Struthio camelus: one gene and its partner. The protein of the gene in region 1 interacts with the protein of each later gene in a pairwise test. Links are inferred from orthologs where the notes say so. Each region holds a gene or a part of one and is shown on either strand. Other genes may lie near its edges.

The links. The genes of interacting proteins can lie anywhere in the genome.
Region 2: the proteins of NCKIPSD (region 1) and STAC interact in binary tests that used the Homo sapiens proteins (3 or more experiments, as listed by UniProt). The link is inferred for Struthio camelus from reciprocal best matches to the Homo sapiens genes NCKIPSD and STAC.

The regions. Positions count from the first base shown.
Region 1 is NC_090955.1:14,967,666-14,973,031, forward strand, and holds the start of NCKIPSD (NCK-interacting protein with SH3 domain), read right to left. Parts: upstream 3,618-5,366; 5' UTR 3,531-3,617; coding exon 3,360-3,530; intron 1-3,359. UniProt on the Homo sapiens protein: Has an important role in stress fiber formation induced by active diaphanous protein homolog 1 (DRF1). Induces microspike formation, in vivo. In vitro, stimulates N-WASP-induced ARP2/3 complex activation in the absence of CDC42.
Region 2 is NC_090943.1:53,931,745-53,937,110, forward strand, and holds the start of STAC (SH3 and cysteine-rich domain-containing protein), read left to right. Parts: upstream 1-1,832; 5' UTR 1,833-2,337; coding exon 2,338-2,454; intron 2,455-5,366. UniProt on the Homo sapiens protein: Promotes expression of the ion channel CACNA1H at the cell membrane, and thereby contributes to the regulation of channel activity.

The sequences.
Region 1 (5,366 bases):
ACTACTAAGGAATCTAAAGGCTTACTTTTACAATGGTGACTCCTGTTGGCCACTCTCTCTCTCCCTGCTAAGCACACTAACACTAATCATTAGCTATGTTATTCTTGTTCTGATTGGGGCAACATTAATTGCTTCCCAAACCACTGTCAGTAATTAGTATCAGCACCCTTATTAAACTGAGACAGGGTGGCAAATTGTTTGCGCTCTCATCCTGAACGCTCGGTAAGCAGTTGCAAGTGAGCATTCAGCCAGAAGATGCTTTCTCCCAAGCCAGGCCTGCTTTCCATGGATGACAACAAATTCTGACTTCAGATCAGCTCTTCAGAGCCAGCAGGATGCAACAGTGGGAAGAAAGTCACATACACTGAGCATTATTATAACTGCAGAGCAGCAAATTAGATCCTGCTGTCTCATGCCTCATCAGGCAAGTTCTAGCTCCAAAAACTTTTCCATTTAAAAAAAAAAAGACGACAGGAGACAAGACAGACTGTTATTTCCTGGTACCAGGTTTAAGAGCATTTGAGAAAGTCACATCTGAACTAGAGGAGAACATACACAAAGTCACCAGTAACACTATTAGTGAATTACTAATGCACTGCCAGTAGTCACTGTGAAGGTATATAGGAGACTGCAAGCTACCTCTGAGTGCTTTACAGCTACAGCAAAACATAACATCAGAAAAGAATGCAAAATCAGCAGGAAAATGCCTTTCTGTCAGATTTTGAAACTATTATAAATGAGGTAGAGAGATACTGGCAGACTGCACCAGGAGGCAGCTGCTGCAACGGAGAAGACTCCAGCACCCAGAGCAGCGAGAGGAGGCGTCAGGGCACACAGGCCAATGAAGCAAGGGACTGCAGAGAGGAAACTCTTGAGCAGCAGCCTGGAGCGATGCCACCACAGGGTTTTAAAATCTAGTGTTTTAAAGAGGCCTTTGCTCTGTACTTAAATAGCCCTGTAAATAGCTTAAGGGCTTATTTATTCACAAGATGTCCCCCTCCTGTCAGCCCATTCTGCCAAGCTGCAGGAGAGGTCCTAGTCCAGCAGAAAGGCCCAGCTTCCAAAACAGGCAGCCAGCAGAGAGACAGTCTGCTACCCGGCGAGGGCACGTGTGTGTTAGGGGTAACGCTTGTCTCACAAGGCACTGACGTGTTCTGCAAAGAACACACCTACAGTCATTTACAAACTGCATTACTGCCTGATCAGAAGTTCAGCGGCACCTGAAGGAGGATCATCAGTTCACTGAAAGGAAGGGGTTTGTTGCCGCTTTCAACCAGACTCAACACATTCATAACGTTCCTGTGCATTCGTGTGCAGTTACTCGTTCACTGATACAAGGAGCAGTCTGCATGCAGTTACCACATCCATCCCCTGAGGGCCTGAAGTATTAAAAAAGCATGAACTACCTTATATCAAAAGTAGGTTTTAATTCCAGAAGCCGTGATTTCCCTCGGAAGCCTCCATTAGACGAAAGCCTGCACTGCACGAGCTAACTAGCTTCACCTTCTCCAACACCAGCGCGAGGCTCGCACACACAGCTCTGACCACCGAACCTGCCCTCCTTGCTCCGACTCCTGCGAGGATGCTGGAGCCGCCTCTGACTCTCTGTAGTTACCAGTATCACTGACTTGGCTGTAATTACTGTCACCGCAGTCACAGGCGTTTGCTGTGGCTTCTCCCAGTCCCCAGGACAGATTCGTCTGCTATCAGTGTCACGGCCTGTTGGTGGAAGGAGCGCAATGAACACCTCCCTCGGTGCTCTCATGCCAGCTGTGGTACTGCACGATTAGAAAGCTACCTATGACCAAGCAAACTAGCATGGAGCTGCCTACACAGCTGTAAATAAAGCCCATACTTGATCAACTTGGGCTGCTAATTGCCAGATTTTAGGCCTGTCTAGTCACTTACGCGTATCCTCTGGAGGGGGATCACCCTTACCGTCTCCCTAGAGAATGACCTATAAACGTTTTCTGTCTTCTCCTCACATTTCTGCAAGAGTGAAGTCAATCCTCTAATCCCTTGGCTCCTGACCTATAAGTCAAGACCCAAGTGACGCTTACCTAGCCCATCTCCTCAGGTCGAAGCTGCTGAACTTTCTGTTTTGCCCCTGACCTGCACTTAGTGCTCCCTGGACCTTGATCTCTAAACATCATGTCAACAACAGGAAGACTGTTTCTCCAGGGTACCAGCCCTTCAGACTTCCTTGAAACTCCCGATTCTCACCCCTGCAGGGGCATGATGTCCCAGAAGTTCTTCCAGGCTGAAGTCCCGTCAGTATGGAGAATTACATCTGCTTTTTGTAGCTAACATCAGCGACCCCCAACCCTCATGACAACGGGACCGCTGAACAGACATGAACAGTTCATGCATCGGGCTACCCCAAGCTGCTGCCCTCCAATAGCCACCCTTGCACATACATAAACTCAGCTTACAGGTGGTCTTTGATGGGAACGTCCCGCTCTCTGCATCAGACAGGCCATTCCCTTTTGCGTTAAGCGACAGAAGTACCAAAGGGGTCCAGAGCCAGGATCCCAAATCCACATGCCATACATGTGACAGACAGCAGAGCTGCTTCCCTAGTTAGGGGGCAACCCCTCTGTGAGCCCAGCCCCAACCAGCCCACCCTCCCCACCACCTGCACCATAACCTGCAGCCCCCCAAGTGCCTGCCCGGCTCAACTTGCCCGGACAGCCACGTCTCAGGACTCATCATCCTCCCCTTTCTCCCCCAACATTTCACACTCTCAGCACATACCCAGCTTGCGCCCGGTCTCAGCCCAGCCGGCACCTCTCCACTGAGTGCAGTCGCCCCTCGGTCCCCACCTCGCCGTACCCTCCCGCGCTCCCCTGTGCCCAGCGCCTGCTCTCCCGCTCCCCAGCCCACACCTCTGGCACCCGGCACCCCACCGTGGCATCAGAGCCACCCCACATCCCGCCCCAGACTGCGGCGAGCACACTGGCACCCTGGCCACGCTGTGCCCCCCCACCCACACCCAAGCACTTCCTCCCCAGCACCCCCTGCCTCCAGCACCCCTGTCTGCCCCACACCCCCTCAACACCCCCCGTCTGCCCCACGTCCCCCGCTGGACGCCCACCACCCCCACGTCTGCCCCGTGTCCCCTGCCCCGACGCCCACCACCCCCACGTCTGCCCCGCGTCCCCCCACCTCGACACCCACCACCCCCACGTCTGCCCCGCGTCCCCCGCCCCGACACCCACCGCCCCCACGTCTGCCCCACACTCCTCACCCCCCCGCCCCCCACCCCCCTGCCCCACAACCCCTTACCCCCCCGCCCCGACACCCCACACCCCCCGCCTCCCTGCTCCCCGCCCCACACCCCGCTCACCCCCCCCGCGCACCTGCAGGCGCTGCAGGTAGGAGGCCGGCGCGTAGCCGGTCTCGCCGGAGCCGGCGCGGGTGACGAGCCACCAGTGCTGGTTGCTGCGCTCCAGCAGCAGGAAGGTCTCGCCGGCGGCGAAGGGCAGCGAGTTGGGCTCGGCCGAGCGGAAGCTGTACAGGGCCCGGTACATGGCGGCGGCACCAGCACCGGCACCAGCACCGCCGGCACCGGCTCCCCGCGGCCCTTCCGGCCCCGCCGCCACGGCCCGGCCCGGCCCGGCCCCGCCCCCGCCGCCACAGCGCCCCCTGCCGGCGCGGCGGCGGCGCCCTCCCGCCCCGCCCCGCCCCGCGGGGACGCACGCTGCCTACGCACGCTGCGCCCACGGCGCACACGCACTGCGCACGCCGCCTGAGCGCGCGCCCCGCCCACAGCGCGCACACCGCGCACGCGCTGCCTGCGGGCCGCGCCGCAGGGGCAGACGCCGCGCACGTGACACCGCCCCCGCAGACCCCCCCCGCACACCACACCGTCACACCCGCACCCCGGCCCACGCCCACGCCCCTGCTCAGCAGGGCCCGTGTCGCCCGCGGGCCCGCGCTCCGTCCTGCCGCCGCGACGGGCCCCGCCGTCCCCTCGCAGCCGGGGGGCCGCGGGGGCGCAGGCCCCCTGGCAGCAGGGAGCGCAGGGACCAGCGTGGCCCGCCGTGCCGAAGGGGCACCGGCGCCCGCGGCGGCCGGCGCGGGACCCCGCTGGGGTGGGCGCCCACGCGGTCACTGCCGCAGCGGGGCTGCCGGCGCGTCCCCCTCCCGCGGGGCGGGCAGCAGCTCCGCGCGTCCCTCCTGGGGGGCCCGGCGGAGCGTCTCACCGCTGCGCCCGCTGCGCTCGGTGCTGCCGGGCCGGGCATTGCCTGAAGCGCACGCGCGCCAGCTCAGCAAGGGTGCCACCGGGCTAGGAAATCCTCCCGTGCGGGGACGCGCGGCGAGCAGCAGCGCTCTGTCAACAGCACTGCACAACCAGCAGCACTGTGTGACCAGCGGCACAGCACAACCGGTGACACCGCGCAACCAGCTGCGCTGCACATCCAGCAGCACCGCGCGACCTGCAGTACTGCACATCCAGCAGCACTGCACAACCAGCTGCGCTGCACATCCAGCAGCACCGCACATCCAGCAGCACCGCGCGACCTGCAGCACTGCACATCCAGCAGCACTGCACAACCAGCAGCACTGCACAACCAGCTGCGCTGCACATCCAGCAGCACCGCACATCCAGCAGCACCGCACATCCAGCAGCACTGCACAACCAGCAGCACTGCACAACCAGCAGCACTGCACAACCAGCTGCACTGCACAACCAGCAGCACTGCACATCCAGCAGCACTGCGCGACCTGCAGCACTGCACATCCAGCAGCACTGCACAACCAGCAGCACTGCACATCCAGCAGCACTGCGCGACCTGCAGCACTGCACAACCAGCAGCACTGCACAACCAGCAGCACTGCACATCCAGCAGCACTGCGCGACCTGCAGCACTGCACATCCAGCAGCACTGCACAACCAGCTGCGCTGCACATCCAGCCGCACTGCGCAACCTGCAGCACTGCACATCCAGCAGCACGACACAACCAGCAGCACTGTGCAACCAGCTGCGTTGCAAATCCAGCAACACTGCGCGACCTGCAGCACTGCACATCCAGCAGCACTGCGCAACCAGCAGCACTGCGCAACCAGCAGCACTGTGCAACCAGCCGCACTGCGCGACCTGCAGCACTGCACATCCAGCGGCACTGTACAACTAGCCGCACTGCACATCCAGCAGCACTGTGTGACCAGCTGCATTGTGGGACCAACAGCACTATGTGACCAGCAGCGCTGCACATCCAGCAGCACTGTGTGACCCACAGCACTGCACAGCCAACAGTGTTGTGCAACCAGCAGCACTATGTGACCAGTGGCACTGCACGACCAGCAGCACTGTGCGACCAGCAGTGCTGCACAGCCAGCGGCACAGCGCGACCGGCGGCAC
Region 2 (5,366 bases), on another chromosome or scaffold:
TTGCAGCAGGCAGGCCCGGTGCCCTGTCCCTCAACCACAGTGCGCTAGGCAGGACCATCAGGAAGGACACCATCGCCCCAGCTGGAGCATTCAAGCACTATGGCCCTGCCAAGACCTCTGCGGCTCACAGTTGCCTTAATTCCCCCAAACTGTGAGTCTGAGCAGTCCCTGCTCATTGCTAACAGGCTAGTTTTATGGCAGCACCTAAATCTCTCTTGCTAGGTGGAAGAAGTGAGATCTGCAGCTGGGAATTCCTCCGGCTCAGAAGGGAACTCTCTAAGATTTTGCTCTATTTTAAAAATCACACCCTTGGAAATCAATTGATTCACTCTCCTGCTAAATCCACCATTCTCAGCTCTGTATTTCCTTGCTTCAATCTCAGTTGTCATTGAAGCTGCCTCAACGAGCGACTGGTGTTCTCGTTCTGATCCCCGTGATGGTGCTAGTGACTGCAGGCCAAAAAAAGGGTTGTGCTGGCAGACACCTAAGATGCACTCTTGCTCTGAAGTGGCTGTACAAATAGCATCACGGCATTTCGTGTTTATCGTCTGGTAAAGACTTCAGTATCTTATATGCTCTGTCTTGGAGAAAAAAAGCTTTTTTTCCCCATTTAACTGCTACTCCTGGAAATTCACTGGGGATTCAAAGAAAAGCTGTGTTTTCCAGGCCTCTGCATAGCTACAAAGAGTATAGAGGCTGCAGGACAATTTCTGCTCTGACTTTCATCCGTATAACCCATACTGTCTTGAAATCCTACCTTTCCTTTCACCCGTGGGTTGTTTGGGGCAGAGGGGGCCTGCGAGGCAGCCACAGGCAGCAACCGTGTTTCTAAGGGATGGGGCAAGAAGAGAGCCTGGTACCCAGAGCTACCAAATCTCTCTGGCTCAAACCTCAGCAAATCACCTCCAAATATACAGCAGTCTAGATGTACAAAGCAAGAATTTTTTTTCTGTGCACCTTTGAGAACAGAAGTGCAACTTATTGGAAACCCGTGTTTGGGTCGCTTTTTTATTTTTCCTTTAAACGAAAGGCCAGGAGGCATCTCCTCCAGCTGCATGGAGCAGCTCCTGCTCTGCAGAGCATGCATCTGGTGAGGAGCGCGTCCACTTAACCATTTGCACACCGCACCTAAAGTCAGGTAGGGAAGAGAGGTGACGTGCGCCTTTGCCGTGGATTTAAATCAGTGGAAAACTCGGGCAGGAGCCAAGCCAACATGCAAAGTTGTGGTGACCTTCCACCAGTCAGCCCGTGGCCCCAAGCGTGACTGCCGGGTGCCACATCCTGGCCAGCCACGGCCCTCGGGGGAGCCAGCAGGCCCTCCTCCCCGGCCACCTCGGCTCCAGCGCTGCCTGACGGAGGGCGATCCTGACGGAGGGCGATCCTGATGGAGCGCCATCGCTATGGCAAGCTGCAGGTATAGGGATTAGTGCAGCTCCGGGGGGGACCCTGGTCGGGTGTGCGCGCCCCACTCCGAGCAGCACTCCCCTGCCCGCACTTCAGTGTGCTTTGGGGAAGGACGAGCACGTGAAGCGGCGTCACACTTTGCCAGGGTTTTGGTGGCGGGGGGGAGGTGTTTGGCCTTTAGAAACATGGGGTGGCTATGGTTTTTAATAAACTCTTTGTGGGAGAAAGTGAGGGAACGCTCCTATTCCTCCTCTGTTTGTAGAGCTCTTTTGGGAACACATCAGACTTGTGAGAATATAAAGCTGCACTTCAAACTCTGATGCCCTCCGCCTGAGTGAAAGGTAAAAACGCTTGCAAACCTCATGCACGCTGCGTGCCTCTGCGCCTGCACGCGTGTGTGTGTGTGTGTGTGTGTGTGCACGCGCGCAGCACTTTCTTACACTACTATGACAGCACACGCTCCTGCAAAGCTAGTCAAGGCTTTAGCAACACAACTCCTCCCTCCGGTGCCCCGTGCGGGCGAGCGGCTCGGGCGTGCTGCCTCGGCTCACTCCCGCCTGACCGCGGGGCTGCCCGGCACGACTCCGCTCGGGGCCTGCGGGCTTCGCGCGGAGGAAAGGAGGACCGGGAAAACGCAGAGGCAGGCACAGGACTGACCTACGGCGCCAGCGGCGACTTGCTCCCCTTGCAGCAGAATTACATCGGGGAGGAGGGGAGAGGGAGGAGGGAGAGGAAGAGGAGAGGGGGAGGAGGAGGAGGAGAAGGGAAAAAAAAAAGAAAATCCAGAGAATTCCAGGCTGGCAAATATAGTGAAACAGCATGATCGGGGTTCATTCGCTCTAGAAGAGCAGAGAGGAGAGAGGACGTTAAACCGAGAAGAGGGAGAAAGGTCTGTGGCTCCTTTCCCGGTAGGAGCAGTGTTTCAGAGGTAAAATGATTCCCCCGAGCAGCGCGACTGAAGTCAGCGTGGACACGGTGGAGAAGGAGCACGAAGTGGAGAGCACAGAGCAGCCCCCCTCTCCGGCATCGACCACCAGCCAGGAATCAAAGGTATTGAGAGAACAAGATTTTTTTCTTTTTTTTTTTCCTTCCCCCCCTCCTCCTTTCTTTGCTTTATAAAGAGATGTGTTGCTTTGATTGCTATTTGGAGCCCTGTGGCAGGGTGTGAAATAGCCTGCTATAAGCCATCTCCAATCCGACAGTCATACTTCTGAACGCTTGCAGGTCACCTGGGCGGCTCGGGGCTCTGAACGGGGAAAAGACCTGGCTTTTGAGTTGTTGGGGTTTGGGGATTTTTGTTTGTGTTTTCCCCTCAGTATTATGGGGGGGGAGGGAGAGTCAGGGAGGGGATTGCTTTCGGTTGATATTTTTAGCTATTTTCACACTAGGCATGCATCCCTTAGAAGCATCTGTTCATAGTTGGAAAGACTGGTTTTCTCACAGGCTCAGAGAAGAGAATTTTGTCTGGAGGGCTGGGGTGTTTCACCTGCCTCACCCCCTCCAGCAGACCCGTCAGTGAACTTTTGCTGTTTAGCAAGCCAGCAGTTGAAACGGGATATGAGTGATAATTTTGGCAGAAGAATCTGTATGTACGCCACTCAAAAAGGATTTTTTTTTTCCTAGCCTCTTATTTACTCATTAATTATTAAATGTGGTTCAATTCTCCTTGCTGAAAGCCAACATCCAGCTCAAATGGTGTGGCTTCTAAATTTTTAATTGACTTGCATATGAAAAGTTTTTCTGCCAGCCGGTATGTTACTTGGAAAAAAGAGAAAGGTAACCGAAGAAAATTAACCTTTCAGAATGAATGCTCTTTGCAGCTTACCTGGATAACGTACTTTTCTTATCAGTATCATGCTAGCATCTGACAGCCCATCCCATGGACCATATTCCTAGTGATGCTATGTGCTGTGCAAACATGTAAAAATGGGGAGGTCCTTGTCACTAAGAGCTTACAGCTGGGCAGTGCCTTGGGAACTACTGTGTGAACTAAACAGCTGCTTCACAGAGGTGGTTCGTGTTGCCCGTCGTTTAAAGTCTAACGTAGGAAGAATCTACGTTATTCTGAGTTATAACGAGGTTTCTGTAGAGTGCGTTGCAATAATCTGTCTGTGTGGGTAGAGTTCTGACGTGGGGTTCGGGATCTTTTTTTAGATGCTATACTCCAAGGAAGAGAGCTAAGGTATTCCCTGTGTAAAACAGGCTCTTTAAAAGAAAAGAAGTCTCACAGCATCAATAGCATCCACTATTCACCATACACATTCAGCACTACCGGGATATTGCTACGCTCTTCCTTGATAATGGGAAATGACAACTAAAAGGGTTATTTGTTTAACCTCAGATCCCCAAAGGATCCAATAGGTCAGTACCCTACCTCCCCCACAAGGAGCACTTCCCTGGAGTTGCAGAATTGCTATTTGCCCAGCAGGAAGACCATCCCTGTGCTGAGGTCCCAGAAGTGAGTGGAGCCTCCACTATATGGCCAACGCCACTTTCTCAAATGTGCTGAGCTGTGCCCAGGGCTGTGCAGGCTGCACGCTCCCTTTGCTGCGACCCTTGCTCCCGTCCTGGTACGTGGTCATGGTGCTGGAGGTACCGTGCTCATTGTGAGACTGCGACAGTGTGCTTGAGGGACTTTCCCACCAGGTCACCAAGCTCTGTGCCCAGCATACATTGACCAAAACAGAACTCCTAAAATAAGAGAAAGCAAAGTGCAGCATGCAAGATTCCTTTTGGCTGCTTGCACAACCAAGGCACTCACAAAGATGACAATAGGAATTAGGCACATCTGGCAGTAAAGAAAGAGATTACTCACTGGTTTATAATCAAATTTTATTATCCTCGGTTTGGCCAGTCTTGTGAGCGTTTGAAGTGATGCAGGGGAACAGGCAAAAGTCTATGACTGTCTGTGCAGATTAGTTGATACTATTGCTTGCATACAGACATTTTCAGTAAATATATAATCTGTGTATTTACATTTTAGGACTGCAAATATGATCAGAAAGCATGCTGTATTGTCATTTCCATAGATGGACTCAAAAGAGGCTTCTGATCACTAGGGTAATGAGATTACGTTTGGTTTTTTGTTTCTTGCAAACAGGAGGATGGAAGAATTCTCAGTGATTTTGCAAAGATGTTGTTTGTGCTGTTTTTTTCCAAGGGAACTGATGTACTTCACAAGCCAGAGGCTTTGACACATACATAAGTCAGTGTGTGCCAAGGGCCTGCGTGCAAGCTTTTATCTCCCAGTGCCCCTGCTGAGGGAGCTATCCTGTCATTCATAGAGGACTCAGCTTTCTTCAGGTACCTCTCTGTTGCATAGGGGAACAAGTCCGTGTCCGCTGCAGCTACTGCAGAGCAGTTTCAGCAGTATCTAGTTACTATAACTTGTTTCTGTGGCAAAACACTATTATAACTCCAAATATAGGAATATGGATAGTAGCAACCTTCAAAATGTGCTGGAAGCATTTCAGTAGAAAGAAAACTTTGAAGAACTAATGTAGAACTAATGTAGCATAGATCTCTTACTTCCAGTCCTGTACAATCATGGACAGCTGTGGCATATAATCCCTTGCAGTACCAAAGTCCAGAAAATGTGTCCAAGCAAGCACACTCCAGAATGCACTCAGGAGATGACGTGGAGGACATACTGCAGTTCCTGACTAGCTTGAGTTTGAGAGGCAGAACTCCAGGGTGTTAAGAAGTAGCTGAAATTTGGAAGACTGTAAAGCATAACTCTCATGCTTTAGTCACACACCCTTTCCACAGTAATGCCTCTCACTCATAATAAACACCAAAGCCTTATACCACCTCTACCTACGGATCAGGAACATGCTTACAGGTGAGCAAACTCAGGTGCTGAAAGTTGAATGACCAGGTCCTCATGCACGTATTTTCCCTTATGAGCACCTCAGTGCCAGGAATTCAGTGCAACTGCTGAGAAGGAACAAATTCAAATGGAC